2 linked regions of the Rhinolophus ferrumequinum genome follow. The protein of the gene in region 1 interacts with the protein of each later gene in a biochemical or structural test. Links are inferred from orthologs where the notes say so. Each region holds a gene or a part of one and is shown on either strand. Other genes may lie near its edges.

What was found.
Region 2: the proteins of DMD (region 1) and DTNA form a complex in vitro, tested with the Homo sapiens proteins (3 studies listed by BioGRID and IntAct, with this or other methods). The link is inferred for Rhinolophus ferrumequinum from reciprocal best matches to the Homo sapiens genes DMD and DTNA.

The regions. Positions count from the first base shown.
Region 1 is NC_046284.1:99,551,170-99,567,811, reverse strand, and holds the start of DMD (dystrophin), read right to left. Parts: upstream 6,494-16,642; 5' UTR 6,292-6,493; coding exon 6,261-6,291; intron 1-6,260. UniProt on the Homo sapiens protein: Anchors the extracellular matrix to the cytoskeleton via F-actin. Ligand for dystroglycan.
Region 2 is NC_046302.1:28,653,803-28,670,921, forward strand, and holds the start of DTNA (dystrobrevin alpha), read left to right. Parts: upstream 1-9,301; 5' UTR 9,302-9,552; intron 9,553-17,119. UniProt on the Homo sapiens protein: May be involved in the formation and stability of synapses as well as being involved in the clustering of nicotinic acetylcholine receptors.

The sequences.
Region 1 (16,642 bases):
TATATAATATATTTCCTAAATTCTGATCTCAGTGAGGTCACTTGTTTAAAACATTATCTCCACAGCATAGCGCAAGTATCAGGCACAAAATAGGCATTCAATACGTATCACTTGCATAAATAAATAAATGAATGAATGAAGAACAATCTGTTCCTTCTTTAAACAGTGGTTACCCAAGCTCACACAATACAAACTTTACAGAGTCACTTCTGTTGATATTTTTATTTCTGGATTTATCTTGAGAGCAAATCTATTTCCAGGCATTTAGAGTAAATCACTGCAAAGTCCGGAGGCTTGAATGAAGTAAACTCTGTGATAATACTTGGTGCTTTCTGACATAGCCCATTAGAGATGGTGTGTGTACACCTAATCCAAAGGAATCTTCTGGCTCTTCAGCAGCTGTTCACATGGCTCCTGACCTGCCCTTCAGGCTCTACTAAATCAGGATTCCTCAGCTGTCTGAGCTTCCAGTAAGTTCTTTCAGTTAACCATCTATATGCCAACATTGCTCGTGTCTAGTTACACTCTTTAGAATCTATTTTTCCCTGTTCCTTCCTAGTTATTTTCCAATATATGGGAGCTATTGGGATTCACCAGTTTCATAGATAATATCATCAGTCCTTCAACTATTTTGGTACCATTTTGTCTACCTAGTCTCTAGTTTATTTCTAATATTGCCCTCTTGAGTATCAATGTAAAAAGGAATTACTCAATTTGCATTTGATGGAAATACTTGGGAAGTTCTGGTTCTGTTATTTTCCTTTCTTCTTTCTTTAGTTTGACCTCACAACGTTCCCAAAGCTAGAATCTGCACTTGTAACAACGTGCTGACTCCCATGCCCTTTAAGTCAGCACTTAGCTCAGGTTAAGGTAGAATGGCTGCTGTAATCTGATAAAGGAGCAGACAAGTTGTGTGCAAATAAAGATGGGTGCCAAGAATGAGCAAAAAGCCACTTATGTTTATGCCCTTTTATAGTCCTGATTCTGTGACAGTCTTAGCCAAAAACAGAGTAGAAGAGGGAGAGTAATTTAAAACAAAACAAAACAAAATCCAAGGAGAAGGTAAAAAACATTGAAAGAGTACCCGCTTTATTTGCCCATAATTGGGCATAATATGACACATTGTAATGCACATTGTACTCAATTAATACTGGTCTTTTTGAGACATCAATTATTCCATAATGGTGGAGGAAAAGTGTATCTAAAAGTTGAAGATACACTGGCAAAGACTATATATTATTTTGGCATATTTAAATTCCTCCTTGTTGCAATACCCATGAATGGGCTGAAGATTTATTAAATATAAACTAAAAATATGACAATTCAAATATCCGATTTTAAAAGTTTATTTAAAATTGTGTTAACTCATTCAGCTATCTACATTATGACTTCATTATTAATACATGGAAAAGCATTGGCTTTCATAATGCATTTTAATATTCGTCCTATTCATGAAAACCAGACTTTCTACTAAAATAAATAAATAATAAAACTACAATACACATAAGTAGAGGCAAAACTTCCCTTGGATTCTTTTACTTGAACAGTAACGTGAGACTACATAGTCTTAACTAGCCTAGATACATTTCAGCTTCCAAAACTGATGTATAAAAATATCAATTTTACAACAATTTGAATTTATGAAAAATGATTTCCTTAAAAACATGTGGAATCAAATGCTGAATTAACAGTTCTGGAAGACCCACGAACAACAAAAACACAACAGCAGCATTTTACCAGCATAACAAACAAATGACAGTTCCATTCCAGTTAAAGTGTAATTGAGAATTCTCTCCACCTTTCATTAGTGAAGAATGAGGTGTGCGATGACAAAGGGAAAGTGAGGCACTGAGGCAGAAGGCAAAGGTAATAAAGGAGACTGAAAAGAAACTGATCTCCCAACTCAATCCAGATTGCTAGGAACACTTGTTTTCTCAAGGCTTAATATCATTACATCTATTATGCAAAATCCTTCCAGGGATTGTAGGACCCCGGAAGATTGTCCTGTGTGTTCTTTCACTTAGTGAAATTCCCAGGTATTCTGAATGAATGATGTGAGAATAATATGAAGATTGAGACAGAGTTGAACAGAAATTCTTTGTTAAAATGGCAGCCAAAGTGGAAGACTGGAGTTATGGGAGAGGGAGTGCTGCCCTTGGGTTTTGCTAATGGGCAAGAGGTGGAGGTTGTGTGGTCATAAGGACGCTTGTAAGCATGAGTCAGCAGGGCCATCCATTTCCTCTCCTTGTCGTCTCTGCCTGCTGCCTATCAGAACTGTGGCTGAGAAATTTAAGATACCCTTGAAAACACCCACCAAGCCTCCCCTCTTCCCCCGCCATATTCAGGGCAGTAATCTTAAATAGGGAAAGAAAAAAGCCCTGGGAGTTAAAGTGTTTCAGAATCTCTGGAGGAGGCATCTGGCTTAAAAAGGGCAAATATGCTGTAATATATGGGAAAAACAAGCTTTTTGTACTACAAATTTCAGAAAAAAGTAAACCAAAGTTTTTAGCTGTTAATCTTCAAACTATAGTTTGCATATGAGTGATTTACAAAGAGCAGGTTTCCTCTCCCCTTCAAAAGGAGACAGAAGAATCTCCGAAGGATGTGTTCACTTTTAATATTAACTTGAGGGAGCTTGAAATTTTACAAAGAGAATAATTTTAAGGACAATTCTACATGTGCTGTAAGCAGACAACCCCCTCCCAAACTGGCAAAACAAAAAACTACACTCTAACATTGCCAATTTAACATTCACATCTGTATTAAAATTAAACTTCTGAACTCCAAATACGTGTTTTGAATACCACTCTGTCAATGTTGTACAGAGTGAAACTCCAAGGAAGATTAATTAATAGATGCTCTTCAATGAGGAGAAAGGTAAAGACCACAAGATGTTTATTTGCTTGTCTGTTTGCATTTTGAAGATCAATCTCCTACATGGAGAATACTCCCCAAAGATAAATATTTTCGTGAAATTCTGCTTTGGAAGTTGGTAGCATTTAATCAAAAAAGTCTTCTCCTTTCTCATACTGCAGTCGATGACCTTCCTCCCCAAAATGTTCTGATATGAACCAACTGCCCTGATAACAGAACACAAATCTCCTAGGACTACAGCAGGACTTTGTCAGAAAGAAAACCGTTGCCTCCCTCTGAATCCAACGCAAACCTGAATGTACTGTATAAAAATAAACCAAGGTCATCATTATTCCTTCTCATTGTGATTTGGCTTGCCTTCAAATCACATACCCTGTATGTCTGAAATACCTACACAGCCTTCATTAACTGAGTTTGACATCAGTTTAATCAATGTATCTTTTCAGAATAAAAGGCAGAAATGTCACATTCCTACCATTATACATTTTTTAAACTCTCTAATCTGCATTAAATAAAAGCTGGTCTTTGAGAAATAATCTATGCTTTAAAAAATGATAACTAGCATTAATTTTATTTTAAACTGTAACTGGGAAAAGATTCATCCACAACACATTTCTTCATACAGAGGTGACTTCCCATGAAACTTTGAACACTTAAGCCTTGAGGCTCTACACTTATGTTTCATTGGACAGAGGACGTACATTAGTCTTATTTGTAAATTTCTTATAAATGACGTGCGTTTAAAATAGAAAATAAGTCAATGAACAAAACATGACATTTAAAGAAAAGTTAATTTCCAATTAATTTTCAATGTTTCTCTTAAGTGATTAACTCTGTGATTACAGGTGTACGTATGTTTCTTTAAACATTTATACTCACACCAAAACACCATGTTTCTTGCATTTGCAATAGAAGAATAGTTTAATGAAAAATATAATAAATCATTTTTAATAAGTTAGGGAACTAGTACAGGAGAAAGTGGAAGGGGAAGGAAGGTTTGGGAAATCACTGCTTTATCCTTGTGATAAAGCCATGATGAAAGATAATAAAACAGAATTTAAAAAAAAAACCCACCTTGTATTTCTAAGACAACGAAGATTTTAATCTCTTTTATTAAACCACACAAGTGGTTAAGAAACTTGACAATTTGTTTCATATGTAGCAAATGACTTGGACTACAAGGATTTCAAATGAATACTTCAGGACTCAAGAGGAAGCTATACTAATATCTCTGTCCAAATTAAGAACAAATATTTCAGTTCTGCCTAGCTGGAGTAGTGTCAACCAACAACTTTTTTCTTAAATAACATACACTTACACAAAACACTTTGTAGTCTATTTTGTAAGTTTTAGAGTAACTCTACATGATGTTCTCCACTGTATATTCCATAATATTATGCCATGTAAGAGACACAGAAAACTTCTTATTAAAATAAAAGCTATACTCTCTATTTCAGCAAGCTCTTTTTCATAGTTAAGATGTCCTTAAAAGACTCTGCAGATGAAATTCTAAAAGACGATTTTATTAGACCTAAAGATAATTTGCATTATTTAAAAAATTTGAATGAAATGTATATTTGCAATAAATTATTTGAATAATTCTTTGCAAGGCAATACTTGAGTATTTCTAACCGTGAACAATTCTTGTCTAATACAATGATCCTCTCTATTAATTGGTAACTATTTTGGTTAAAAACCAACCAAATGTACTCTCAATGTTTTCAAACTAAGGCAATTTTAAAAACTAGACACAAATGTCAATACACTCAAATAGTAGCATGTTGTCAATTAGTAAAAGTTAATGTATAATATAACCTTGTGAATATCTTCATTTTCTTTTCACAAACCCATTGTCATGTAGCATAAACATTACCTGATAGTTTTAAAATGTACTATCATAAAGTTGTACAGGGCTTGTCCTAAAAAGGTTAGCTATCTTCAAATTCTAGTTAAGAGTTTAAAAAGTTATTTGAATATCTATGACAAAACAGACAGTAAGTTTGCCTTGCTTCATTCCAGAATTGAATCTTTGCTATTCTTTCTCAGTTTTTCTATACACTGGTTTATGGTTTTAATTTTGTAAATATACTGATTGCTTGATCAGTCAATTATGTATGTGTGTTGCAAAGAATATAGGCTACTGGATTTTTGTAATATTAGTAAATGGAATAGTTTTTCAATTAGAAATCAATTTTGATGCTCTCCAAGAAATTTATAAAATAAGGGTATTATATAGAAATGTTTCACTACATATAAACTCTGGAAAGACCTAATGTGAGCCAGCAATTGTACAATGTAAACTTTTTTCCACAAATTTTTCTCAGAGGCAAAACTTCTGTTATGACTCTTTTTCTAGAAGTTTTGAAGACTTACTTATTTGGAGAGATTTACGTTTTTCATTCTTACTTATAAGCATTGCCCTCATAGCTATTTCAGAATGACTATAACCCAGAAGTCAAAGGCAGGAAAAAAAGATTGTCTACTTCATCCACCTCTTTGGGACACACTGTGCTCCTCATATATTATTTTTATTGTTGTGTCACAGTCAATTTTGAAATTTTTCATTAGTCATCATAACTTTCTTAAAATAAACAAAATAGTTGTGCTTTACATAAAATTCAAATTAAAAAGCTTTACTGAAAAGCTAGGTCATCACAGACATGAAACAACACAGTGACTTTACTGTGAAATATAATTAGAAGTCTCTCATGTTTTTATGGTGTTTTCTCAAGAAAAGTGTCTGATCATTTGATGGCATAGATTATATCATTATTACAGAAAAGAACATTCAAAACACTAAATGTAATATGAGAAAGGAACTTTTAAATTAAATATTTATCAATACTTTTCTCAACCTCCATTTATCCATCACCATTCATTTTATTTTTTAAATTTCTCCCCATGATACGCCAGATACAATTTTTCTAATCTTGAGATCTCCACAAATCATGCCCACACAGCAACTAGTTCATTGAGAATATTTGCCAGGTCACTACCCCAACATATAACCGTTACTAAATACAGAAGTATCAAATAATCAAGATAATAACTCAGATTCACAAACGATTTCACAGCAGTTAAAATGGTTTGTTGCAAATACTCCAGGCCAGTGATGCATGTTCTATTACTTTAGTGGTTTCTTAAATAAGAAAGATGTGTTTGATTATATTTGTAAGAACAAAAGTTTAAACTCTACCTCATTTCTACTGAAAAGTTTTCACAATGAGAAACATGTACACCTGCACAAATATACGTACGCAGAATATGTAACATTTATGGTTATTCACAAAATATTATAATAATTTAAAATCAATCTGTCTAATCAGTGAGCTTGTCACAAACTAAAAGTTATGCCACTGTAAAAAATATTTTTACTTTGTACTTACAACAGTCCTCTACTTCTTCCCACCAAAGCATTTGGAAAATAAAATGTGTATCAAGGCAGCGATAAAAATCTTGGTAAAATTTCTCCCAACTTTATTGCTCCAGTAGGTTTAGGAATGATGAGAAACCAAACAACTCCAGCAGCCTTTAAAAAATAACACTTTGGTTTTTCCTAGTCCGTTTTTCTCTGAAGCTAATTGCCTCCAAGATCTGAGTCCTGAAAGGGGAAAGTGAGTGATCCTAACACTGAGTGAGTCAACACAGTAACTGATGCCAGGATTCTGTAGAGGCCCCTGGATATTTCAAATTCCAGGACCTGCGCAGAAGCAAGTGACCCGCCTCTTCTCTCAAGTTGGTTTCCCATAATAGGACTGCCCATGGTCACTACATATAAGGTTGTGCTTCCAGCATGGCAAGTCCTGTGAATTCAAATAATGTTCAACTGTGTTCTGATTAATATCCAAACCAGAATAGCACAGTGGACACAGTACTTGCTCTCAAAGCCTTCTTAACATAGAACCTCTTTAGTGCAAAACTGTAACAATACTTTCTGTAACTTCTATGCACATTTCTAAAATAACAGAGCAAAAACTCCTGATGCAGAATAGACTTCTAAATGCTTTTCCTTATTTTACCTTCTTAACAACACTAAAATTTTCACTCCACTAAACAAAAGGAAATGCCCAGAATAATCTATGCACGCCTTATGTATCCACTGTTTACCAAACTTAATTTCTACTCTGGGGATCCAATCAAAAGTCATGTATTGATGATGTCAACAGTCTGAGTAAGAGAAACAACAGAAGAATTGAACAGCTGAGCTCTGAAGGCAGAATGTGTATAGGTCTCACGGGATGAGGTTCCTGCTAAAATAAAGAACACTCTAATAATGGAACAAAGAAATCTTACTCAAACATGAAATTCCCATTGTAGCTTTTGATAAAACATTTTTAACTAACGAATTACTGTTTCTTCAACTTCTTTGGTGACAATTATTACAACAACATTCTCTTAGACACTGAGTTAATGACAAATTTTTTAATTGCTCGCAATAGATGCTTTTTTCTGTATTAAATGAACACAATTGTAATGTATCATTCAACATGTTTGTAAATAATTATTTGCCACTAGAAGGCTTCTTTATCTTCTTTCTTATTTTTATAATTTATTTATACTAAATTTATTTGGGTGACATTGGTTAATAAAATTATCATATTTTTATTTTTAATGCAACAGGTAAGCCCAATATTTATAGGAAACATTGGTAGCATGTTTTAGAAAGATATTCCTTTTGCAATTAAAATAATCTCTGTTAAAATTATTTGTCTGAGTATTTTTATAGTACCATTTGTTAAAGTGACAGTCTCATTTTTTTATGTCAACCATTCAATTGCTTGGGACATAAATAAATTATAGACAAACATACAGAAAAACTGACATATTGAGTCAAGCTATGATATTAACCTTAATAGTGAATTATACATTTTATATTTTAGAATATCATTATCATAATACTACCATTCCTCCCTAACAAAATCTATATGAAAGAAAATATAAGGCCTAATGTTATGTAACTGTATTTTAAGTGCTATTATTAAAAGGATTTAAAATGTTCTTCTCCATAGCTTTCCTCCTTTCCTCTCCTTAGCGTGGTTGTCTAAATATGCATATAAGCAACAATTTCATAAAAACATAAAAAAATGTTTTAGGACTGACATGGATCCAAGTCTGCATGTTAGCATCAATGCCCTATGCGATGGGTATCATATCACTCAGAGTACGAGTTCCTTTACACCTTGTACTGTGAGTTTCCTACAGATATAAACTCATGTTTAGGCTAAGGCATATGTATAGTTTTATCAGTGATTTGTACAGTGTGATCCACAAAGCATCACATAGGAACTTTTTAGTAATGCAAGTACACAAGACCTGGAAAATAAGAAATTGCGAATAGGACCTGGTACACTCTGTGTTTTACTGGTGATCCTAATGCATGGCCAATTTTGAAAAACCCTGTCGTTTTTCAAACCAACAGTGGCTCCAAATATACCAAACACCTGTCTTGGTTAATTATATAAAGTACCAAAGAAGATCCAAGATGGTGGAGTAGATAAATGTTGTGCTTGCCTCATCCCATGAACACATCAAAATTACAACTGAATTATAGAAAAAATAGCCTGGACAACCATCTAAAGTCTAGCTGAACAGAAGTTTTATAACCAAGGGTATAAAGAAGAAGCCACATCAACATTGGTCGGAGGGGTGAAGTCTCAAAAGGGGCTGGTCCCACACCCATGTGTGGTAGCTGAAAATTGAGAGAGATATCTTGGCCAAAGAGGTTCCCCATGAAGGAGTAAGGAACCCCAGCCCCACACACCAGGCTCCCTAGCCGGAAAACTGGTGCCAACAAGAGGAGCCCCCACAACTTCTGGCTATGAAAAACAGTGGGGATTCCAACTGTCAGGATAGGACGGAAGGCTGTGGAAAACCCAGCTGTCCTTTTAACAGCCCACACAGACACTCACCCTGGGCTCTGGTGGAGGGATGGTAACCATGGGGGCGTTGGAGACATGGGTAGAGACTAAGTTGTATAACTTCGGGGCAAGGACTGAGGAACAGTCCCCATTTTCCCTGTGTGGGGCCCTTCTCCAATGCAGCCAGCAGAAGGGCACCATTTTTCCTGTGCTGAGTCCACCTCCACAGGCCTAATCTGAATCTGATTGGCCTAGTGAGCTCTGCTGCTCCACCCTGTTGATTCATTGAGACCTGGCCTCACCTGACTTGTATACTGCAGGAGGCTTTATCAGCAGCTAAAGCTTATGGGAGTTGGCAGGTGGCAGCAGGCCTCTGAATTTCCTGGCTTTTTGTAGAGCTACTGCAGACCCTGCACTGGTGGCAGCCATCCTCAGTTTGCAGCATGGCCTCTCCAACGCACCTCCCGGTACAACACAGGTAGTGACCAATCATGGATCACTTTGTAGCTCCTACCAGGTAGTTCCCAGCCAGTCACAGACAGTGGCTTCCCTGGGCCTGCACCAGAGCCCCTCCCAAGAGGCTTCAGAACCAACATACTTGGAAGTTGGCTTCAGACCACAGCAGAGTACCACCCAATTAGCCCCACAAGTGGCACACCCAAAGGGCGGTCTCAACAGGCACCAAAACCTGCTGGGGCAAATCCCTCTCCATATGGTAGGTTCCACCACACAGCAGCCCATAAGCTGTGGATGTGGCCAAACCTCCCAGCCAGTCAGCCTGAGGGTCAATACCCACCAAGATATGCCAACAGCAATCAAGGCTCAATTATAACAGGAGGGCACACGCAACCCACACAGGGACACTGCTGGAGCACCTGGAGCAGGTGACCGGGGAGACTGTGCCACGAGGCCCCAAGGACCCCTATTACATAAGGTCACCCAGCCAAGACTGGGAGACATAGCAGCACTACCTAATACATAGAAAGAAAAACAGAAAGGCAGTGAAAATGAGGAATCAAAGAAATATGTCCCAAATGTAAGAACAGGAGAAAACTCCAGAAAAAGAACAAAATGAAATGGCTGCAAGCAACCTACCGGATAGAGTTCAAAACACTGGTAATAAGAATGCTCAAGAAATTTAGTGAGAATTTCAACAAAGAGATAGCAAGCCTAAAAAGGACATATAAACCATAAAAAGGAACCAGTCACAAGTGAAGAACACAATAACTGTAAAGAAGAATGCACTAGAAGAAATCACTAGCAGAATAGATGAAGCAGAGGATCAAATCAGCAATTTGGAAGAAATGGCTGCAGAAAACACCCAATCAGAACAGCAAAAGAAAAATAAGAATAAAAGAAAATGAGGACAGTTTAAGACACCTCTGGGACAACATCAAGTGTAACAACATTCGCATCATAGAGGTACCACAAGAAGAGAGAAAGCAAGGGATTTAGAACCCATTTGAAGAAATAACTGAAAACTTTCCTAATTTGGTGAAGGAAATAGACATACAAGCCCAGAAAGTGCAGAGAGTCCCAAACAAGATGAACCCAAACAGGCCCACACCAAGACACATTATAATTAAAATGGCAAAGTTTAAAGACAAAGAGAAATTTAAAAGCAGCAGGGGAAAGGCAACTATTAGGTTGGTGCAAAAGTAATTGTGGTTTAAAAGGTTAGCAATAATTGTAAAAACCGCAATCACTTTTGCACCAACCTAAGAGTAACTTATAAAGGAGCTCCCATAAGACTGTCAGCTGATTTGTCAACGGAAACTTTGCAGGCCAGAAGGGACTGGCAGGAAATATTCAAAATGATGAAAAGGAAGGATCTACAACCACGAAGACTACCAACCAAGGTCATTATTTAAAATCAAAGAATAAAGAGCTTCCCAGACAAGAAAAGGCAAAAAGAGTTCATCATCACCAAACCAGTATTACAAGGAATGTTAGAGGAACTCCTTTAAGATGGGAAAAAAAGATCAAAATTATGAATAATAAAATAGCAATAGCTACATATCTATCAACAATTACTTTCAATGTAAATGGATTAAATGCTCCAATCAAATGGCACAGGAGAACTGAATGGATAAAAAAACCCCAAACCCTTACATATGCTGCTTACAAAAGAATCACTTCATATTGTAAGACACACACACAAATGGAAAATAAAGAGATGAAAGGAGATGTTTCATGAAAATGGAAACAAACAAAAAAAGCTGGCGAAGCCATGCTTACATCAGACAAAATAGACTTTCAAACAAAGGTTATACCAAGAGACAAAGAAGGACCCAGAAAACCCACTTCAGGGTATTTATCTGAAGAAAGCCAAAGGCTATTTGGAGGAGACATATGTATCCATATGTTCATTGCAGCATTGCGTACAATGGCCAAGATGTCGAAGCAGCCTGGGTGTCTGTTGATAGAAGAATGGAAAAAGAGGAGGTGGTACATATCTACAGTGGAATATTACTCAGCCGTCGAAGGGAATGGGTTCTTTTCATCTGCAGAGGCATGGATGGACGTGGAGGGTACTGTGCTGAGTGGAGTATGTCAGACAGAGAAAGACAGATGCAATGTGATCTGGCTTATATGTGGAATCTAAAGAACAAGATAAACAAAACAGAAACAGACTCATAGATACAGAGAACATTTTAATGGTTGCCAGATGGGAAGGGAGTTGGTGTGGCGGGTGAAAAGGGGAAGGGATTAAGTAGTATGAATTAGTTGTTACGAAGTAGTCATGGGAATGTAGGGTATAAGGATTACAGTCAATAATATTGTAATAACTATGTATAGTTATTACATAGTTATTACAATCCTCATGTGCGTACTAACTTTGTTGGGGTGACAGATGGGATGAGGGTTGGGGGGCAGGGTGAAAAAGGTGAAGTGATTAAGAAGTACAAATTAGTAATTACAAAATAATCATGGGGATGTAAAGCATAGGGAATACAGTCAATAATGTGGTAATAACTATATATAGTGCCAGGTTAGTGCTAGACTAGACGGGGGGATCACTTCTTAAATTATATAAATGTGTAAACATATGCTGTATACCTGAAATTAATATAAATTATTGAATGTCAACTGTAATTGAAAATTTTAAAGGGGGGGGAAGGTGAAGGGCAATAAGAGGTCCAAATTCCCAGGTATAAAACAAATAAGTCGTGGGGATGTAATGCACAGCATGGGGAATATAGTCAATAATATTGTGATAGCGGGGTACAGTGTCAGACGGTTGTTGTACTTATCATGGTGATCACTTCTTTATGTAGGTAAATGTTGAATAACTATTGTGTATACCTGAAACTAATATAATATTGTATGCTAACTATTTTTTAATAAAAATCAAATATATATATATATATATATCCAAATACTCTCAGGTATATCTGTCTTTCAATTTCAGTCAATAATCACAATTTATTGGGCACCTGTAATCAATTCTACATTAAAGTGGAATACACATACATCCCTTAAAGTTTTACAGTCTAAGTGGGAAGACATGCTTATGGTAACTGGAAAAAGGGGAAGGTACATCAAATAAAATTTAGCACAAAAACAGTGAATTCTAATTCAGACCTTGGCATTATTTTCCTATGGTCCTTAGTCACTTCCCTCTCTCATTTAGTCTCCACAGTAACTACATTGGGTATGTCTTAAGAGCCCCATTATAAACATGGCTGGTCAAGGAACCTGCTAAAGTACCTATTGTTAATGATTGGCAGAGCAGGATTTTTAAAAATGTAACTTTTTATTTTGAAACAATTATAGATTCACAGAAAGTTGCAAAAATCGTACACAGGGGTACCCTACCTATACTCTTTGCCCAATTTTCCCCAACAGTTACATTGATCATAAGGCAATAGCAAAACTAGAAAATTGGTATAATGTGTGTATATATATTTGTCATTTTATCATAACTGTAGCTGTATGTAACCACAGCCTCAATCACAATACAGTACCATTCCATCACCACAAAGCTCTTCCTTGTATTATCCCTTTACAGTCATACCAACCACTCTCCTCTACCAGCCTGGCATCCACTAATTTGTTCTTCATTACTGGAATTTTGCCATTTCAACAATGTTAGATAAATGGAATCATTCAATATGTGGCTTTTTGACATTAGCTTTTTTTCATAAATAAAGCTGCAAAACAATCACATACATTTTTTTCCCATTTATTTGGGATTAATACCCAGGAGTAAAGTTACTGGATCAGATGGTAAATGTATGTTCAGGTTTTTAAAGAAACTGCCAAAATATTTTCCAGAGGGTCTGTATCAGTTTACATATCTGCCAGCAATGTGAGTGATCTAGTTTCTCTGCATCCTTTTGGCATTTGGTGTTATTTTTAAACATTTTTATTAAATTTATTGGGGTGACATTGGTTAATAAAATTATATAGGCTTGAAGTGCACAATTCTGTAATACATCATCTACATATCACATTGTGGGCTCATCACCAAGAGTCAGCTCTCCTTCCATCACCATATTTTTGACTCCCATTACCGTCTTCTACCATCCCCCTCCCTCTTGTATTTTCTTTTTTTATTGTAGTCTTCAGCATGCAGAGATATATCATGGTGATCTCAATTGGAATTTCTCGAATGGTTGATGACATTGAACATCTTTTCTCATGCTTATTTGCCATCTAAATGTACTCTTCAGTGATATATCTGTTCGTATCTCTCGCTCATTTCCTAAACAGATTATTTTTTTAAACTGCTGAATTTTGAGTGTTCTTTATGTATTCTAGCTTTGAGTCCTTTGTCAGATATGTGGTTTGCAAATATGTTCTCTCAGTCTGTACCTTGTTTTTCCATCCTCTTAATAGGGTAAGACCAAAGCAAATTTTTAAATTTTTATAAAGTCCAATTTATTGAATTTGTTTCTTAGATGGACGGTCCTTTTGGTGTTAGGTCTAAGAACTCTTCATTGAGCCTTAATTCATGAATATTTCTATGATTTTTTTCTAAGTTTTAGTATCTTCTTATATTTACATTTAAATCTATGACTAATTTTGAGTTTACTTTTGTGTAAGGTGTGGAGTTTAGGTAGAAGTTTTCTTTTTATTGCTTACAGATTTCCAATTGCTCCAATACCGTTTGTTGAAAAGACTTTCCTCCTTCTGCTTTTGTACCTTTGTCAGAAATCAGTTGGGCATATTTGTGTGAATTTATTTCTGGAATCGTGATTCTGTCCTATTGATTTATATTTCTATCCCTCTGCCAGTACCACACTGCCTTAATAACTGTAGCTATACAATTTACCTAAGCATTAGGTAGAGTTATTCTCCCACTTTATTATTCTTTTTCAAAATTGTCTTAGAAATTCTAGTTCCTGTGCCTTACCATATTAATTTTAGAATAAGCTTATCTACAAATAGGTTTACAAGTCAGACTACAAAATATCTTTCTCTTATCTTGATAGGAATTGCATTAAATAGATCAATTTGGGGGAAATGGACATTTTCACTATGTTGAGTTTTCTAATCCATTAACAGTATACTCGTATACTTCCAATATTTAGGTCATCTTTAAGTTATTTCATCAAACTGTGCCTTCTAATAGTGCTTTGCATTGTGATTAATTTGTTTCATGTTTCTAATATGACTATAATGATATTACTGCTGTTATGGATGTGATTGTACAAAAAAAGGGAAAAGAGCAAAGCTTCTCAAGTGACAGTTTTGAAGAAGAAGTCCATTTAGAAAAGAAATGTCTATAACTCAACATGCACCATACATGCATGCTGTTAAAACAACTTTAAATGATAAGGTTATAATTGTTTACACATGAATTCATATAGAACTTTACTTTCTCAAGAATGCAAAGCATCTTTTTGTTACATTGAAGGCTTACATCAGCTTTTTTAAAAAATTACTTTACTTAGGCTATAATTTAAAGATACATATTGTACAATGAAGACTGGTCCTTGCTTATATTCTAATATTAACTAGTAATCCCTATGTCATAAAAAAGGTAGAATATTATTTAGAAAGAATTGATAATGATAAACTTAAAAGTGAGCAAGGAGTAAATTCTTAGGAAATGGCAGTATTTTACATAAATTGGGAGAGGTCTGAGTCATTTCCCCCACTTATTCAATTATTTAACATAATTTTAAGCAGTATGATTAATAGAGCTTCACAGGATAAATAAGCTAGAAAGAAACAGGCTTGAAAACTATGACATTTATATAATGTTCTCAAATTTAGTGATTTGAGAAAATAATTTCTGGGCCATTTCTTCTTTCCTCCCCCGCAATGATGCATGTTGGTTAAAATGTTACACATTCTATTAGATAGGTGCAAAAAGTGATTTTTGCAATTTTTTTAATCTTTTAAACCGCAATTACTTTTGCAATAACCTAATATAAAGGCATGTATTTCTTAGATTTTTTTTTAAACAAATCTTTTCAGATAAATCCAATGGAGAAATGTATAAGCTATGGGTAGTCCATTGGCACTGAGACCAGAGAAATTAAGACAGATAGGTTTCAGGCAATTTGGTCCTTATCTGTATATTTTTAAAAAGTTTGCTGGTATTATGATAGGAATTCCATTAAAACTGTAGATTAATTTAGCGGAGAACTGATATATTTACTAGATATATATTACCAACATGTATTAGAATACGCTTATCTACAAATAGGTCTACAGATCAGACTACAAAATATCTTTCTCTTATCTTGATAGGAATTGTATTAAACAGATCAATTTGTTATATTTACCAGTCCATGAACACATTATCTTCTATCCTTTTATTTAGGTCATTGTTTTATTTCATCAGTTCTTTCAGTTTGTAGCATTTAAGTCCTAGATATGCTTTGTTAACTTCATAGTCTCTTCTCTCTTTTTTTGGAGTGACTGTAGATATTACGTTTTGAATTTGGGTTCCCAGTAGTTCACTTCTTGTCTAGAGAAACACAATTGACTTTTGTATTTTTATCTTGTTGAACTCTATGAGTAATTTTGTAGAATTGCTGGGAAATATTTTACATAGCCCATCGTAACATCTGCAAATAGGCGCTGTTTTACCTCTTCCACCCTGATCATATGCTTTTATGTACTTCTCTTGCATTTTTTTGCTGGCTAGAACTTCCAATACTATAATGAATAGCAGGCCCGAAAGCAAAGATCTTTCCCTTGATCCTACTATTAGAAAGAAAGATTTAAAATCTTTCAACATTATTATGCTGTTAGCTATAGGCTTTTGGTAGATAACCTTTATCAATTTGAAGAAGTAGTCCTCATTCCTAGTTTTCATCATGAATGGGTATTGAGATTTGTCAAAACTTTTTTTCCTGCATGGATTGATAAGATCATTTGATTATTCTTTAGCTAGCAAATATGACTTATCACATTTTGTTAAGGACTTCTGACTCTATGAAGGCTACTGGTCTGTAGTTTTCTTTTTTTTTCTTTTTTTTTTTCTTTTTTTGTACTGTGCTTGTCTGGTTTCGTATCAGCGTACTTTTTGCCTCGTAAAATGTGTTTGGAAGTGTTGCCTCCTCTTCTGTTTTCTGGACTTTGACAGTTCTTTAATCACATGAAAAACGTCATGACACTTCCTTCTGGATCCAATCATTTCTTATAAGAAACTGTGACATTTGATTTTTTGCCTGTAGATAGAGTCCTTTCTCTTTCACTGCTTTCGGAATTTCTTTATCCCTAGTCTTCAGAAGTGTGACTACGATGGGTACAGGCTATGATGGATCTCTTTGGGTATATTCTGTGTGTTCACTCAGCTTCTTGACTCTGTAGGTTTTTGTCTTTTGCCCAATTTGGTTATTTCTCAGCCATTATTCCTTAGCACTTGTTCAGCAACACACTCTTTTGTCTCTCCTTTCAGGACTCTGATGACATATATCAAAGATCTTTTATTATGATCCCACCGGTCA
Region 2 (17,119 bases), on another chromosome or scaffold:
GTCCTGAGTAGGGCTGAGCAGAACATTGTGCAATTTTATCACACTACTCAGAATGGAGCACAATTTAAAACTTATGGATTGTTTATTTCTGAAATTTTTCATTTCATAATTTCGGAACCGGTTGACCACGGGTGACTGAAACCTCAGAAAGTGAAACCATGGGTAAGAGGGGACTATTGTATACGAAATTCTAAAACAGACAAATCAAAACTATAGTGATAGCTATCAAAATAATGATTGTCTCCAGGTGTAGGAGGTAGGCAAGGATTCACTAGAAAGGGACACAAGGGAGTTTCCTTGGTGCCCTGTGTCTTGAATGGTGTGAGTGTGTTATGAGGGTGTATCCGTGGGTACATTTATCTAAATCATCAGACTGTTTGCCTATGATCAGAGAGAGAGGGAGAGGGAAAGAAGGCAGGACACAGAGTGAAAGAATACAAAAGGCAAAACCAAAGAAAAAGACCCATCTGACCAGATCTTAGGGTAGAAATTAATCTGGACCACGAATAAAGGCGTAGAGTTACAAAACAAGACTGACTCAGAAAACTCAGAAGTAAAAGCTACGGTAAGGAGCAGTTTCTAGAGACTGGACCAGTGTCTCCAGGGATGAACGGTCTTAAGTTATTTACTGCTGAACACTTGCATTTGTAATTGTGTGTGTGTAATGTGTATGTTATATGTAACCATGCTGACTTTAAGTATGTATGCATGCAATAAGAGCCAAGTTCAACTTTGTAAAGCCCCTGAACACTGAAAATATTATGGTATTTGGCTTTATTTATCCCCATTGAGTAATTACAAATTAAAATTATGCACCCATAGACTGAAATATCTATAGATGAATGTATATGATATATAGTATGTGCCTCGAAAACAACATGGGTGGAGAGACAAATGAGGATGTGGAAGTGTTTGGCCATGAGTTAATCGTTGCTTCTGCTGGATAATGGGTACCATTATGTATGTTTGAAAGAAAGTTGAAAGAACCTGTAGGAACCATAAAAATAAGTATGTTAAATAAGGTCAGTGAAGTTTTTATTTCCTTTTCATGAATAACTACTGTGGGGACAGAGCCAGGAGTGCAGTTTCCAGGCTCTCAGCCTCACATGGACAGTTGCTGGCTCAGGTAGTAAATGGCCATCCAACTGTGATTGGATGGCCATCAGCTGTGGCTAGTTGGCCGTCAGCTGTAACCAATGAGCCATTGGCCACTAACATAACTGCCGTGGCTACGCTAGCAGCAAATGGGGGCTTGCAAGCGGATGGTAACTGAGCTAGCAAGAGCGGATTGCAGTTAGCATGGCAGATTGCAGCTAGCAAGTGAGGTTGGTTGGCAGAGAGAAGTGGACGGCAGGTTGTGGATAGTGTGGCTGCTGTTTCTTGTGTCTCCAACCCAGCCGCCAGCGAGACTATAGTGGTATGACTCCCCTATCTATAGCTCCGTGGGTGTTCCTTTTTGGCCTCACCATATCCTCCGCTCTTATGTGTGGAGCAGGACCAGAGACCCCGCATGACACCCCACATGACAACTACTTTGAAGGCTTTAACAAACATCTTTTAACTATTTTAGTGCCCCTGTTGTTAATGTTAAAAGCCCACACATAGTATGTATACCTACTGGGTGACCCTGTCCTTGTTGGACTGAGGATTGTTGCTCCATGATTGTCTTATCTCAGGTTAAAGGAGCCTCAGTGCAAATAAAAACTAAGAGAAGGAGCCCAGTCCTTTGTCATTGGAAGCATCCCAGCTAACAAGAGAAATGACCAGAAATGTTCTCACATAAGATGAGGTAAAAACACCAGTGGAGAAAGTCCTAGTGTATTTTATTCTTCTATCAGGATGTGAAGAAAATTATAATTGAGGTTTTTATTTTAGAAATAAAAGCTAAGGTAGTAAATTTGAATTTCCTAAAGACTATTGTGGGGACAGAGCCAGGAGTGCAGTTTCCAGGCTCTCAGCCTCACATGAAAAGGTGCTGGCTCAGGTGGTAAATGGCCATCAACTGTGATTGGATGGCCATCAGCTTTGGCTAGTTAGCCGTCAGCTGTAACCAGTGAGCCATTGGCCACTAATATAACTGCCGTGGCTATGCTAGCAGCAAAGGGGGCTAGCAAGAAGATGGTGCCTGAGCTAGCAAGTGGCAGAGTGAGGGTTGCGGATCCTGTGTCTCCTGTTTCCTGTGTCTCCAACCCAGTCTCCAGCGAGACTATAGTGGTATGACTCCCCTATCTATGGCTCCGTGGGTGTTCCTTCTTGGCCTCACCATATCCTGCGTTCTTATGTGGGGAGCGGGAGCTGAGACCCCGCAGGCCACCCCGCAGGACAACTATTGATTGTAGATTGCAGCTCTTTGATATGACCTATTGTAAAACAAACGTGTTTAATATACATTGACATTCAACAAATATTTCAGTTGTTGAAATATTTGTTCATTTTCTCTGAACAAATATAAACCATTCTGTAGTATGATGAGCATGTAATTGGAAAAATAAATCAGCTTCAATTTTTAGATTATGAAAAATTTATAACACTGAGCAAAAGATACCAAAGAAAGAAAATCCTTTATACTTAAATACTTCCACATTTGTTTTTCAAAGTTCCTTAAAGTAGGAAATAAAATTATATTATCCAAAATGAATGATATTGTAATAATAACATCTGGTTAAGGCAGAAATATAAAAGATCATAGGCAGTAATTACTCCTTGCAACTAAACAACACACTGATTTTGGTTTAATTCTTATTTATTTATTTATATATAGGAGGAAGATTTCTGTTATCAAACTTTATGTCATTATTATAAAAAAATTAATACTGTATCAGGAATATATATCTAAAGATTTGAAAATGCATGCAAATTAATAATAAGTAGAAAGAGAACACATTACTCTCTCATACTTGGGGCAATGTCATGTCAAAACAGTAACTTATTTTCAGTTAATCAACAAAGCAATCAGCAAGTATTTACTGAATAACTACAAGAAGTTGTGAAATGTACAAGAGACGTATAGCATAAGGAGTTTGCAATCCTGGTGAAGGAGTGGACAATCCAAATGTCTAATACGCATAAAATGATTAGATAAAAACAGAACACATTTGAAGACAGTGTTTCCAAGAGTAAGTCTTTAAAGTGAGTTCAAGGAGGGTGGATAATGCTGAGTTGGAAAATGTACTTTGAATGATGGTTAAGAAAAGAACAGAGAGGGTATGGAACAAATACTTTATACAATGCATATAATCCTTAAAGTATTCACTCTACTTCTATAAAATAAGTAAATTGTTTCTATTTTCTTTAAGAACCAGAAGATCTAAAATATCCACTATGTCCTCTGAAGTAAACTATACACTATATTTTAAATGCTGAGCATCTTTTCTTCTAAACATTTAAGACACAGAGATAGATGAGTGGAGTTACAATTATTTTTCTTTGTTAAATTGAAGAAATATTACAAAGAGAAATATACTGTACTGGTATTAATCACAAGATTTAAATGAATATTCTTACATGTACATAATTCTGTCATCCAAAACATTTTTTGGTTTGTTTGTTTTAAATACACAGAGAAAAAGTTGCATGTACCCCAATAGCAAAAGCAAGTCATACACAGGGTATCCAGTTCACCTTGTTCATATAAAACATACAAAAACATGCTCTATTAAAGGCATTTACAAGCCTAAAAGAATTGTTTCTATATACTGCACAGGGCCAGAAGTAAAATTTTTGAATTTTCCTTACCATCATTCTCATCCTATGCCTACAAGTATTTTCCAAGCACTTGCTATATGAGATAAACGTGATTGATTCTCTAGGGAGGGAAAAAAAAAAAAAAAAGGATGTTTTCATCATGGCCTCTGTCCTTGAGCATCTTAAAATGCTTTTTGAGATCTGTGCACATAAAAAAAAATGACAGTTTCAAAATCAGGAAATTTTCATGTATTTCTAGTGAAAAGCATAGACAATGCTGAACTGGGTACAAAATAAGCCGTGTAGTTATGATAAAACATTGTAAAATGCCCAGTATTCCTGTCCCTTTCTGTCTAATGACAGACATAAAAAAGGGGAAAGAGAGATATGTAAATAAAAAAGCATTGAAACCATGAAGAATGTTCAAGCTGATCTGGTGATGCAGATCAGGGATATAAAGGAGGAAAAGAAAAACACAAAACAGGAGAATCATAGATGATACTTGTGGCACAAATAAAAGATAAGCGTCTTAATTAACAAATAGAATTTACATATTGATAAATATATTATCACCTTATAGGAATACACTTTGAACTGTCTCAAAATGTATCCCCTAAAAGGTGAAATACCATTATTTCCGATAATAAATTTTAATTATGGATCTACCCACGTATTAGTTACACAGTTTTAAAGATTACAATTTGGTTAGTTTAGTTTCCTTTCCTCTCCCACCCATTTTTTTTTTCCATTTAGTCTCTCATAAAATACAATGCTTCACAGCATCAAATAATTATATGGTATTTACTATAGGGATTAACTTTGAAATTAAACTGTGCACTTGTTAACATGGTTCCTGACAGTATACAGGAGATTTGGGCTGTATCTATATAATATGTAAAAAATCATTTCACTGGGAAATAAGTTAGACGAACTGATTTCATGTAAATAAAATTGTTTTAATGAAGCTCTTCAGTGTGTAACTGGTTTCTTTGGTATTATTAAAATCATTAGGTTTTATTTAGAATCATTAAGGAAAAATTTGACAGTTCCTTGAGATAATGTGGATCGCTATTCAGATAATTTATCTTCAATAAACAGCACTTTTGTCCTTAATTATTTGGATTGGTAATCAACATTGATCAAGTGTATTTATTATGATGATGTTTATTATTTATTCAATTTTATTCTTGGTTACATGTACCAAGATATTCTATATTCTTGGGAAAAACAAAGACAAAAACATTCAGCCCTAAAACAATGAAAAATAGAGTTAAAAGCAATTCTAGCAGCAAGTATATAGATTATAAGCACTTCCTGATAAACTGTACTCTCCGGCTGGCTTTTTTTCACTATCTCTTCTGTGACAGCACACTTGAGTTTCGCCTAAAATATTTATGTTTTATCTGTGGTCCAATGAAAAATAAATTCTCCCAGGAATAAAGGGCACACTGGTGTGATGCCATTGAGAGCTGTGAACCACTAGAATATGTAGTTAATGAATTGCCATTACAAGGTGGAATCACAGCTACTTAAAATGGCAACAAATTTGTATACACCAACATGAGAAAACAAAATACACTTGACCACTTAGACCCACCCATTTTTAAGCAATGTTCTCTCCTGTCCCAAGAGAACATGGGGAATGCAAATGCATTTCTCCTGAGGATCTTAGGCAGACAGGAAGATCAAACAAGAGACACTGCAGCTGAGCACCGTAATATGCACTACCAAAGCAGCTGAATTACAAGGCACAGTCCTGTATACAGGAGGCTTCAGTCTAGCTAAGGGATTGGGGAGCATACGTAGGTGGGATGAAAGGAAAAATACCTCTGTTCTCCTGACCTTGCATTTACTCACAAACAACTGACAGGACCATGCCTCAATTCTTAGGCAATTAGATACTAACTTTATATAAATAAGCACTTTGAAGTGATGCATAAGGAGACTGAACGAACACCCTTGGTGTTTATTAATACAAACACATACTTTACATCCCCTCAATTTTCATGAATTCTTAGGACACAATTTATTCATTTCAGTGGCGGTCAGACGACAATGTTCTGTCTGAGGCTGATGAGTTCCAAAATGGGGGTATCTTGAAAAGTCAGAGAATAGCAAAGGGTTCTTTCTGCCCATCTTGGCCTCAAAATTTATTAATTCTCACCCTCCCAAAAAAATCTAACCATGAATCCTCCAAGCCACAGCTCAGTTGATCCATCACTTCGAATCCTGTGTTGAACTGGTAATGAATTTTTCATTCTTGAAAGCTAATCAAGAAGGAAAATCAAGTTTCTTGGAGGAGCAGAATTTATGTATATTTTGTGTTCTTCAAACCCCAAATCATCCTTCTCCGAAACAGTCTTCTATACCCAGGGGGTACATGTGTTTCTAATTGATAAAAATAGCAATGTCTTCACTTCTTCAACTTTTTTGAATCCATCTTCTTTTCTACTCTTGTCATTCAAATTTCGTAAAGTTTCCAAAATGTTTGATGCCTCATGCCCCCAAACTATTACCAGTGCATAGGTAATAGTAATCATTCTTATTTGACCTATAACACTCTCTATATCTCTGTATTTATAAAACACATACACTCAGAGTTTCACTGTACCATAGTGAGCATTCTGATTTTACAGATAACCAATCTCATTAATTATAAACTATTTTTAAAGTCAAGAAATTATAAGAGCAAAATAGTAAATATCAGTAATTTATTTTTCTTGATAAAGATAGCCTAAATTATTACGACCCATAAATATGTGTACATAGCCATATTAAAAATATTAAAAATATTTTTAATATTAAAATATTTTTAATATTATAGCCATATTAAAAATGTTTTTCCCTACTTGAAGGTATTTTGACACAAACTGCTAGTGACTGTTGAGCCACTGAAGTTGTAATGCATTTCAGAAACACATGTTATAATCATCAAACCTAAATATACCTCTAATTAAAGCAAATCCTGCCATGAGTACGCAGATCAAAAGAAAAGTGCTCTTGATATATTGCTGTTCAATTTGGGCCTCCACCTCTTCTACAGAAATCTCCCAGAGATACTACAAAGCCATCAGCATCTGCTACATGCTAAAGCTTCTAGTTTAACTCTAATAGCCTGTGTAAAATCCTGGATTATCAATCACTGTTGCGATCTATGCCCAGGAATCCATCTAGTTGTATTGTTTATGAGAAGGATTGGAGGGAGGGATACTGAGCAACATCTTCAGTGTTGACTGGTCAGAAAATATAAGTGATATTTCCAAAACAATGAGTGAAATTTTTCAGCATACTCTATTCAACATGTAGAAAACTGGAAGAATTATTACTGTCTTTCAAAATGAAGCCCACAACGGTGCCTGCCTCTCTTTATTATCAGGTTCAATAAAAATGGTATGAAAGCACTTTGAAAATTGAAGTACTCTTAAAAATATATAATTATTACTATTTTTGGCATTAAGTACTGCAAGCCTAGCTCTTTATTGCCTGCCTTAATATTCCTGTGCCTTTGTTTTCCCATTTATTGCCCTTAATTTCAGTGTCAATTTCTTCATAAAATACTACGTGTACCGTGACTATTTGAACGCATTGTGATTTTTATTATTACGTTATATTGATGGGTCAGCCTACTTATTTCTTCTAGTGGATCCTACACTTGAATTTTGAAAATTGAGATCTTTCAGTGTTGTCTCTGCAGGACTCACACCTGGTGTCATTGCCATTAAATTCCTGTCAGCTTATCAAAAAAAAAAAAAATCATAGCAATAAGAAACTCTGTGATTTCCTAAATTTGTTTTCCACACAGAAAAATGCGGAAAATCTTGGTTTTCACTTGAAAGTTGGTCTTCTTTTTCTTCTTCTTTTGCTTTCCCCCTCTTTTTCTCTCCCTTATCTTGTAATTTCTTAATTCCCTTTTATTCTTCCCTTCCCCCACCTCTTTGCACTACTTACTCTTCTGCCTTTTCCTTGAGCCATTCTCTCTCACACACCATTTCGCTTTTCCTTGTATTATTAGAAGACCGCTGAATTTTCTTATATACACCTGAACAAAAGGTACACAAGAGTGTTTTTTGTGAAAACTTTTATAATCACAAGGGAAAAAATCCCCATGTGGTATTTATGTGAGTATGGTGGGTGTGTAGGTGAAGGGTAAAGGTAACAAATTACCTTGGCCATTGAGATGTTGTGGGAGTCAATGAGAGACTGAAATATGGGGCACACAGACAAATGAAATAATTTTAGTGTGGAACAGAAATTACATTGGTAAAAAGAAAAGAAGTGTATCTTGTACTTTCTCTGTGACAATTCATAACACCAAAACTAATAAAGCGCTTCTCTTGTAGACTTTTTGGTATATATATTTGTAGAATATATATATATATATATATATACACACACACACACATATATATATATTCATAACACCAAATATAGAGAATATATATACACACATATATATATTCTACAAATATATATGTGTATATATATATTCTCTATATTATATATATTCTCTATAATATGTATATATTCTCTAATATATATATATATATATATATATATATATATATATATATATATACTCAACAACTAGATGTAAACTAGTGGAGGACAGGTTCCAAATATTAAACTTCCCTATATCCTTTAAAACATAGCACAGCTCTTTATATGCATCAGGCATTTAAAAAGGTTTTGAGTGAAATTTGTAAATCATTATGAAATTGGTGACTACCCCAAAAATAATGACTAAAATTTCTTGATATTACTATCTAAGGAGTTAAGTAACACAAATGAATATGAATGCGCACACACAGACATATACATATCCCCAAAAAAGAAAATTATATAAAAACGTGAAACAGGAAATATATACAAATACACAAAAGAAAATTATATAACAACATATATAGAGAGAGAAATTGATTCATTTGCAATCTCAGATAGTAGGTAAGTTAAAAATAATCAAGCCTATCTTCATTATTTTTCAGAACTTAAGTTTCCAGGAATTGATTATAGTAAATAAGCAACCTACGAGTAGCTGTGCAATTAATAGTTATAGTGAGATATTGACATGTGCACTTGGATCGGTCGTGTTATCTGACCTACGCCTCTTCTGTGTCTCTGAAGTGACTACTTATTTGCCTTCTCATCTGCCTCCTCTGCAAAGATGCTCTGCAAATAAATGAGGTAATGTTCGCAGCTTGGGAAAGAAACCCATTTCATACTCTCAGATTCTATTACTATTCCATATTCAAGTCTGGTATATCACTGCCTCTGTTTTAAATTGAAATTGTATGTTTGAGTCCTTGGGTTCTGACCAAAATCTGGGTCAACATAAGAGGATGATGATGATTATTATTTTTTTAATTCTGAGGCTCTGTTCAGATCCCTCGCACGTGTGAGGGAAAACTGTGGAAAATAAACAAAGCGCATAAATCAAGCTTTGAAAGAAAAATATCAGAAAGGATTTTTTTTTTCAATGAAGAGCGTGAACACTGTATTTCCCTAGTGGAATATTTCGATCCAGGAAGGAGGATAGTGCATGCAGTGTGCGTGTGTGTGCATGTGTGCGTGTGTGTGTGTGTGTGTGTGTGTGTGTGTGCTGTGCGTGCGCGCCCGCGGAGAGAAGGGCGGGGGAGGCGGATGAGGAGGATGAGATCATAGTTTCAGGATCCTCAGGAAACCCTGGTACTGGCAGCAGCCAGCCTCTGCTGTGCCCACATGACCCACAACTCTGGCAGCGGACCCGGCACTTCCAACATTATTAAATAATAAGAAAGCGGCTCCTACTCCATGCCCAAACCTCCCTACAGACCAATGGACGCCTTCTAAGAGTTTGGCGAGTCGGTGACTGAGGCGCCCGTCCATTCCAAGGTGTGTGCAAGGCGTTTTCTTCTTTGACAGCTCCGGAGTGGGGGAGGGCACGGGGGTGGAGGGGTCCGGGTGTCGGGCGAGAAGTGGGCGCGGGGCAGGGATGCTGCGAGCTGCCCCCGGCCGCCCGGTGCAGCGGAGCGAACGGCGAGGCGGGAGATGCACATGACGCGCAGCCCCAGCTGCGCAGGGACCCCGGCCGCCCACGGCGCCGGGGCGCCGGCACCCGAGGCTCGGCTGCTGGAGCAAGGGCAGGCGCCGCGCACCCGGCAAAGTCAGGAGTGGAAGCGGACCGCCCGCGCCGGCGGGGGCAGGGAATCACCCCAACGCCCACTCGCCGGGTTCCCACCTGTGCGCCGACGCTGGCCGCGGCGAGCGCGAAGCATGTGCCGGGCGCCGCAGCCAGGACTGCGGCTCGGCGCCTCCCCGGCGGCGGGCGGCGCCTCGGGCCCGGGGGCGGCCGTAGCGGCTGCTGCAGGATGGCCGGCCCGGGGGCGCGGGGCCGCGCAGGTAAATCTCAGCCGCCCGCCGAGGCCCGGCGTCGCTGCAGCCCCCGCTGTCGCCGCTGCGTCGTCGCTCCGGGGCTGGCGATGGCAGCCGGCTCCCTCGCGTCGCGGGTTGAGTTGTTTTGTTGTCATTGCGCCCTCTGAGTCGTCCTCGCGGACTGAGCCTGTGAGAGGTGGCGTAGCCACATCCATTAGGGATGACACTCACGTTGGGGAGCAGTCTGGGGGTTATTGACCAGGAAATCCGCGATGGGTTCCTTTCCAGCCAGCGGCGTCTGCGCGTGTTGCAATGCACTGCGGTGCCCGCGCGGAGGTCTGAGTGGGAGTGGGCACTTGGGGGTCGCTGGGGCCGTTGGGTACCGGGTGGATGTCTATGGCTTTTGTAGCCTGTTGCCACTTTAGAGTTTTCCGTTGGACAGAAGGCGAACGGGAGGTTGGTTCTGGTACCCGGCGTGGGTGGTGGAGAGATGTCAGTCAAAAAACCAAAGCCAAGGAGAGAAGAGGGGTGGTGACGCTGTGCTTGAGCTCAAAGGTACCACGGCTGGGACTTGGTAGTAAAACTTTCTCTTTGGTAGCCTTGGGTTGGTGATAACTGTAGAACTTAGGAGGAAAAAAATATTAAATGTACACTTGTGAAGCTAACCACCTTTATGTTCATTTGTACTCTAAAAAATGGTCTTTTGCACTGATGTTTAACGTTCAAGTTTTCCTGTTATCTGTTATGATCACTTGGTATTTAATGTTTGTTTGTGTTTCCTTTTGAATATGACAGTAACTTATATTGTCAAAGTGCACAGAGTTACTCTTTTCTTTTACAAGAAAAGACACTATTATGCTTATGCCAAAGGTAGAAACTTTAGGGAAAAAACAGCTCTCCACATATTCCAAGTACAGTTATAAGCTTTATTCTCTCACTTAATTCTTATATCACCATAAGGAGTAGGTAATAATATTATCCATCTTTTACAGATGAGGAAGTCCAGACACAGAGAGGTGAAATAACTTACCCAAGGTCGTACAGTTATGAAATGTTACAGCCCAGTTGGTCTTTTGGTGTACTCTTAATATTTATATATTTCATTAAAATAGGACTCCATTGTACCTAAAGTTTTCTATTTGACATATGGCCCACATCTCTGTACCAAGATGAACCTCTTAACTGACTATGTACTACAAATTGGGGACAAATAACTCTTTTCCTAAATTTTTAATACTATATTTATGGAAAATATCCTTTGAGTAGTTTCCTTTTGCCACAATTAACCAAGTTTCCTACAACAATTATAGATTAAAGTAGTATTTATAAGCAACATAGATTTTCAGCAGTTAAGATTTACCAGCAAATAAATCACTATAAAGCAGATGTCTGAATCTATATATTTGTTTGCACTTAATTTTAAACTTCCTAAGATATTAGTCTGTCCTTTGCTCAATGTAGGGTCATCATTTTCTTCTGAATACCATCTTGCAGATTTTTTTAACAAGTTTAATCATCTTTAAGCCAATTACTCTGACAAGAGGTTAGGCAGTTTTGAAAGAAGAATTATACAATTTTCTTTCAACTATCAGTAATGAAAAGCAGGCTATATTTTGAGGGTATTGATGTATGTCATGCCTTTTAGCCAATTGTATATACTTTATACAAAGTTGTGGAGCAATGAAGACTGAAATCAAATTTTCTCATTAGTTCTAAGTTGAAATACTTTTTAAATCTCCACTTGTTTTAAATGAACCATGATGTTGTGAAAGGTCTCAGTGGGGTGAACTCTAACTGTACATATTTGGAGAATTACTCTTCATTTGAGCTTATCATGGAGCTCTCATGCTATTCATTCAATTGGACAGATGTCTCACTTAAATCTTCATCTGTTATTTTTTCAAGTAAATTTAATTGCTTCTTTACATAACAAGTTTCAAAATTATTTTGACATTCATAGATTTCCTTAATTCTTGTCTTTCAGTTTAATTAAATTCAATATACATATTTCAAATCCATACGTAGTCAATATTATAAGTGAAAATAGACCAAATCCAACTGGAACTATATGGAAACATGAGCTTTGGATGTGAAAAAAATTTTTTTCTGCTCTTCAATGGTTAATCTCCTCCACATCCCAAACTATGGCTCCGGCGTTATTTTGGGATGCTGGAGTGCAATGCTGTGGTTAGAAGAGTTGCATGCCGTCAAACACAACTGTTTCTGATATTGAAATTGAGTTTGAATTTTGCCAAACTATTTACATACGATGTTGATTGTCATTAAGGCATTAATCCTGTTATACATATGTCCTTTCTTAACTGAGTCAGAATTGTTCCAGTTTTCTGGTTTTTGTTACTTATTTTAAAGAAGACATTCCCTTGCTAGTTTGACCTCACCTGGTAGACTCACATGACTTTTTCAAGTCCCACACTTCTAGTTTTGGGAGAATCCTACTGTCTCTGCTTCTTGAGAGCCCCTCTGTTCCAGATGCTTGGCAGAGGACGGGGGATCAATAGTGAGCAGAAAGATGACTGGGCCCTGACAACATAGAGGGTCAGACATTAATAAAATAATTATACAGATAAACCTTTATGCACAAATTGAGATAAATTCTCTGAAAGAAGGAATTCTATAAGAATATGTAATAAGGAATTCTGGACGAGATAGGAGGGTCAAAACAGGATGACAATAAATCATATTTGTGGAGAAATGATGTGTGACGAAGTGTTTACTAAGTCAAATGGTCTTTATAAATGCTTTCATAAATATTTTGTGAATTATTTTCTGAATCAGAGACCTGTGTCTCCCTCTGAATAGCTCTCCACTTTTCTATTCACCAGAAGAAGACATACTATTCCCCCTTATTATCCACCTATGGAAATGGGGAAGTTTACAAAATTCCCATCAATACTTTTTAAAGCACAGAGAGCATGTGCTATCCTTATCTGGTTATTATCCTATTTGCTAAGAATAATTTAAGTTTAAAGAAATATAGTCATTTTATTTCAAATTTTAAAAAGTGGTTGTGTGTATGTGCGTGTGTGTGTTATTAAAGTGGAAGAATGTTTCAAGATAGAAATATAATTGATTCAGCACACAGTACCTAAGATTCTATGAAGTGTCCAAAAGAAGAGAAGAGGCCCCAGAGTAAGGGAGGTGATATTAAATGTTTAATATGCTTGGTAAAAGGGTATTAACAATTTAAATCAAACATAATAATACCTAAATTTATTGAATACTTACTGCATGCTGGACATCATTCTATGGGCTCTATGTAAATTAACTTACATATTCCTCACAATAGCCTTCTGAAGTCTGCATGTATTTCTATTATCCCCATTTTATAGAAAGGGAAAGTTAAGGACAAAGAGGACAGTAATCATGACCATTGTTGCATAGTTAGAGATGAGCCCTAAACTCAGTATTTCTATTTCTGTAGTCCATACTGTGAGCTATCGATGTGTAACATCTGGTTCATAAATTTACTGGTGCATTCAACTCCCGTCGTTGTTAAAAATAATAACACCTCTTAATTGGATCTTTTGGTTCCTTTTCCCTTCATAAAAATCAATGGAGAAAGAATAAGACTTCCTTTATATCAATGCTTTTTGTCCTATATTTTACAGGGAAAATATATAGATAAAGCAAGAAGAGATATATGAATGCCTAGACAAAGACTAGTGACTGCTAGGTTATGAGAAATGTCTCCTTACATATTATATATTTTTAAAATTCAAAAATAGTAACTTGAGTACCATTTGAAACTGTTGAAAATTTTAACGTTAAGAATATGTAGTTCCAAATATGCATTTCCAATAATTAGGGAAATATCTTTAACTGCTGGAAGTTCTATGACCATTAAAAAACTTAAGAATTTTAAGTCAATTGTTTCACCTTCCCCTACAGTCTTTGTTCAGAATATGCACTGCAAGGAGGCTACAAAGTATAACATAAACAACATCTGTTGAATTACTTTGGTAAAATAGTTTAAAACCCTGTTAATTTTTACAATGAGATCTTTTGACACGAATCACAGTAATTATTATGATTTAAAAAAACTTAGCAATTTTAAATATTATCTAAATAATGTTAACCTAAGACAGATGGTACATGTCATCAGCAAAGTGAAGTACTGCACACTGTCTGAAAATAAATGTTAGTCAATGTTATTTCTCCTTGCAAATAATAGGTAATATGCAGGTTATGTGATGAATGTTAATGTTAACCATGAATCACAATTCATACACAGTACACATCTACAAATGCGTGACTCTTCTTTGAAGCTCTTGGAAATGCTTAAGGCAGAGCACATTTTCTTATGACTCATGTATCCCTATTAAGACTGTGATACATCATTTCTCTGTATGCTCAGCTTCATGCAAAGCTCTATGTCACAGAGTAACTAGCAAACTATTGCTCTAATTTATACCATAAGGAAAGAGATGCAAGACTTGATTTTGCTTTCTGTGGACATATGGGTGTGCATGGGTTATCTGAGTGGAGGATGCCATCAAGTACACCAAAGAATAACTCATTTACTGGAGTTTACAATTTGATGCCCCAGTGCAGGGTCCTACTCCAAAGAGTTTCGTGTGTTTAATGTAAATATAAAATACACTCACCAGTTATAATAGTTTAGGTTGGGCAGTTATGACAAACCACTCTAAAATCTCGGTGACTGAAAAAAACATGGGTGTATTTCTTGCTAATGCTGTGTGCTGTGTTAGTCAACAAAAACCTCTATTCTACACCTTCCTCACTTAGGGACCTGGGCTGATAAAGCCCCCGTCACCCAAAACATCCTCATCCTTCATCAGGCACAAGGGAACTTGGTGAATTACCCACAAGTTCTTAAAGGCTTTCACCAGAGAGCAGTACTTGCCAATTCCACTCATATTTTATTGGCCAAAGTGAGTCAGATGGCCGTTCCCATTCATAAATGCAACGCTTTCACGGACCCAGATGAAAGAAAATGGCAAGACTACTGAACAGACCTGATTTTTACCAGATAAAATTAGCCAATTCCCTTCAATAGTTTTATCACCTAAACAATGATTTATCTTTTTACGTAAATGCAGAATCACCAACAACTCTGTTTTAGAACTTTAGCATGGGAAGGTAATCCCAGCATAAAACCACCAGCAAAGAAAGTAGATACTAAACTTGTGAAATTGATGATATTCTTATTTTTCGGTGGGGGTTGTATTTACTCAAGGAATGATGATGAAAGCTATGGTTTATTTTGAGGGAATGCATGAGGTAGCCTATTTGACAGCAAGCACAAGCCAAGAACAGTGCCAACACCTGCATACAGCACCCAAGCTGTGTTTTCTAAACAGATTTGATAGTGTCAACATGGTACAGAAACCAGAGCAGCTATGTGTGTATCTTTTTTTGTCACCTGCACCAACAAGGGACAAAAATATCATAGGTGCTATCGTATGTTATTGTAAAAAGCAATGCAGATAAACATACAAATCATGCTGTATGTTTATTTTACACTGTCAAATATAATCTGAAAAGTGAGGATATATCCAATCCATATTTTTTAATTAAACCTGTTATTTTTAGATAATGGGAGATTCACATGCCATTGTAAGAAGTAACAGAGAAATCCCATGGTGTCTTTTACCCAGTTTACCCCCATTGAGGGCAAAGGCACCATCTTAAACCTTAACAGTAAAACACAACAAACAATCCAATTAGAAAATGGGCAAATAATATGAAGAGATATTTCACCAAGAAGGATATACAAATGGAAATTAAGCACATGAAAAGATGTTCAACATCATTAAGGAAATGCAAATTAGAACTACAATAAGATATCACTACACACCTATTAGAATATTCATTGCAAATATATAGAAATTCATTGGTTTTTTGTTGTTGTTGTTGTTGTTGTTTTGGAATCTTATTTGTATCCTGGGATTGCTCAATTTATTAGTCCTAAAAGTTTTTTCTGATTTCTTAGAATTGTCTATGTAGACCATTATGTCATTTGAAAATAAGGACAGTTTTTTTTTTTTTTTTTTCCCTTTCTTTTCTGATCTGTATGCCTTTTGTTTTCTTTTCTTGCCTTATTGCACGGACTAGAATTTCCAGGACTATAGTGAATAAAAGTGGTGAGAGTGGAATCCTTTCCTTGTTGCTGATCTCCAGAGGAAAACATTCAGTCTTTTACCATTAAGTATAATATCAGCTGTCAATTTTTTTGTAGATGTTCTTTATCAGATTGAAGAATTTTGCCTTTATTACAATTTTTCTGAGTATTTTTATCATGAATAGCTACTAATTTTTGTCAAATGCTTTTTTTCATCAAGTGATATGATCATTTAATTTTCCTTCTTTAGCCTCTTAAAAGGTGGAGTACATTGATTTTTAACTAGAAATCAGCCTTGCATCCCTGCAATAAACCCCATTTAGTCATTGTGTATAATTCTTTGTATGCCTTCCTATTTGCCAATATTTTGTTAGAGTTTTGTATCTACATTCATGAGAGATATTGGTCTCTAGTTTTCTTTTTGGTGCTATCTTTGTTATTAGTATCAGTAGTACTGGCTTCATAAAATGGATTGGGTTATCTGTCCTCTTCTTCTATTTCCTAAAAGATATTATATAGCACTGGTGTTTATTCTTCTTTAAATGTTTGGCAGAATTCTTCAGTGCAATCATCTAAGCTGGGAGGTTTCTTTTTCAGTACTTCATTTTTTAGTTATGAACTCTATTTCTTTAATGCTTGTATTTATTTGTTAGGGCTGCCATAACAAAATACAACAAACAGAATGTATTAAAAAACAGAAATGTATTTTCTCACAGTTCTGGAGGCTTGGAAGTCCAAGATTAAAGTGTCAACAGATTTGGTTTCTTCTGAGGCCTCTCTGCTTGACTTGGAGATGGTCACCTTCTCACTAGGTCCTTACATGGCCTTTCCTCTGTATGTGCATCCATGGTGCCTCTGTGTATCTGAATTTTCTCTTCTTATAAAGACACAAATCAGATTGGATTAGGGCCCATTCTCTTTGTCACATTTAACTTAAACGTCAATTAAAGACCATATCTCCATATATGGCTACATTCTATGCTA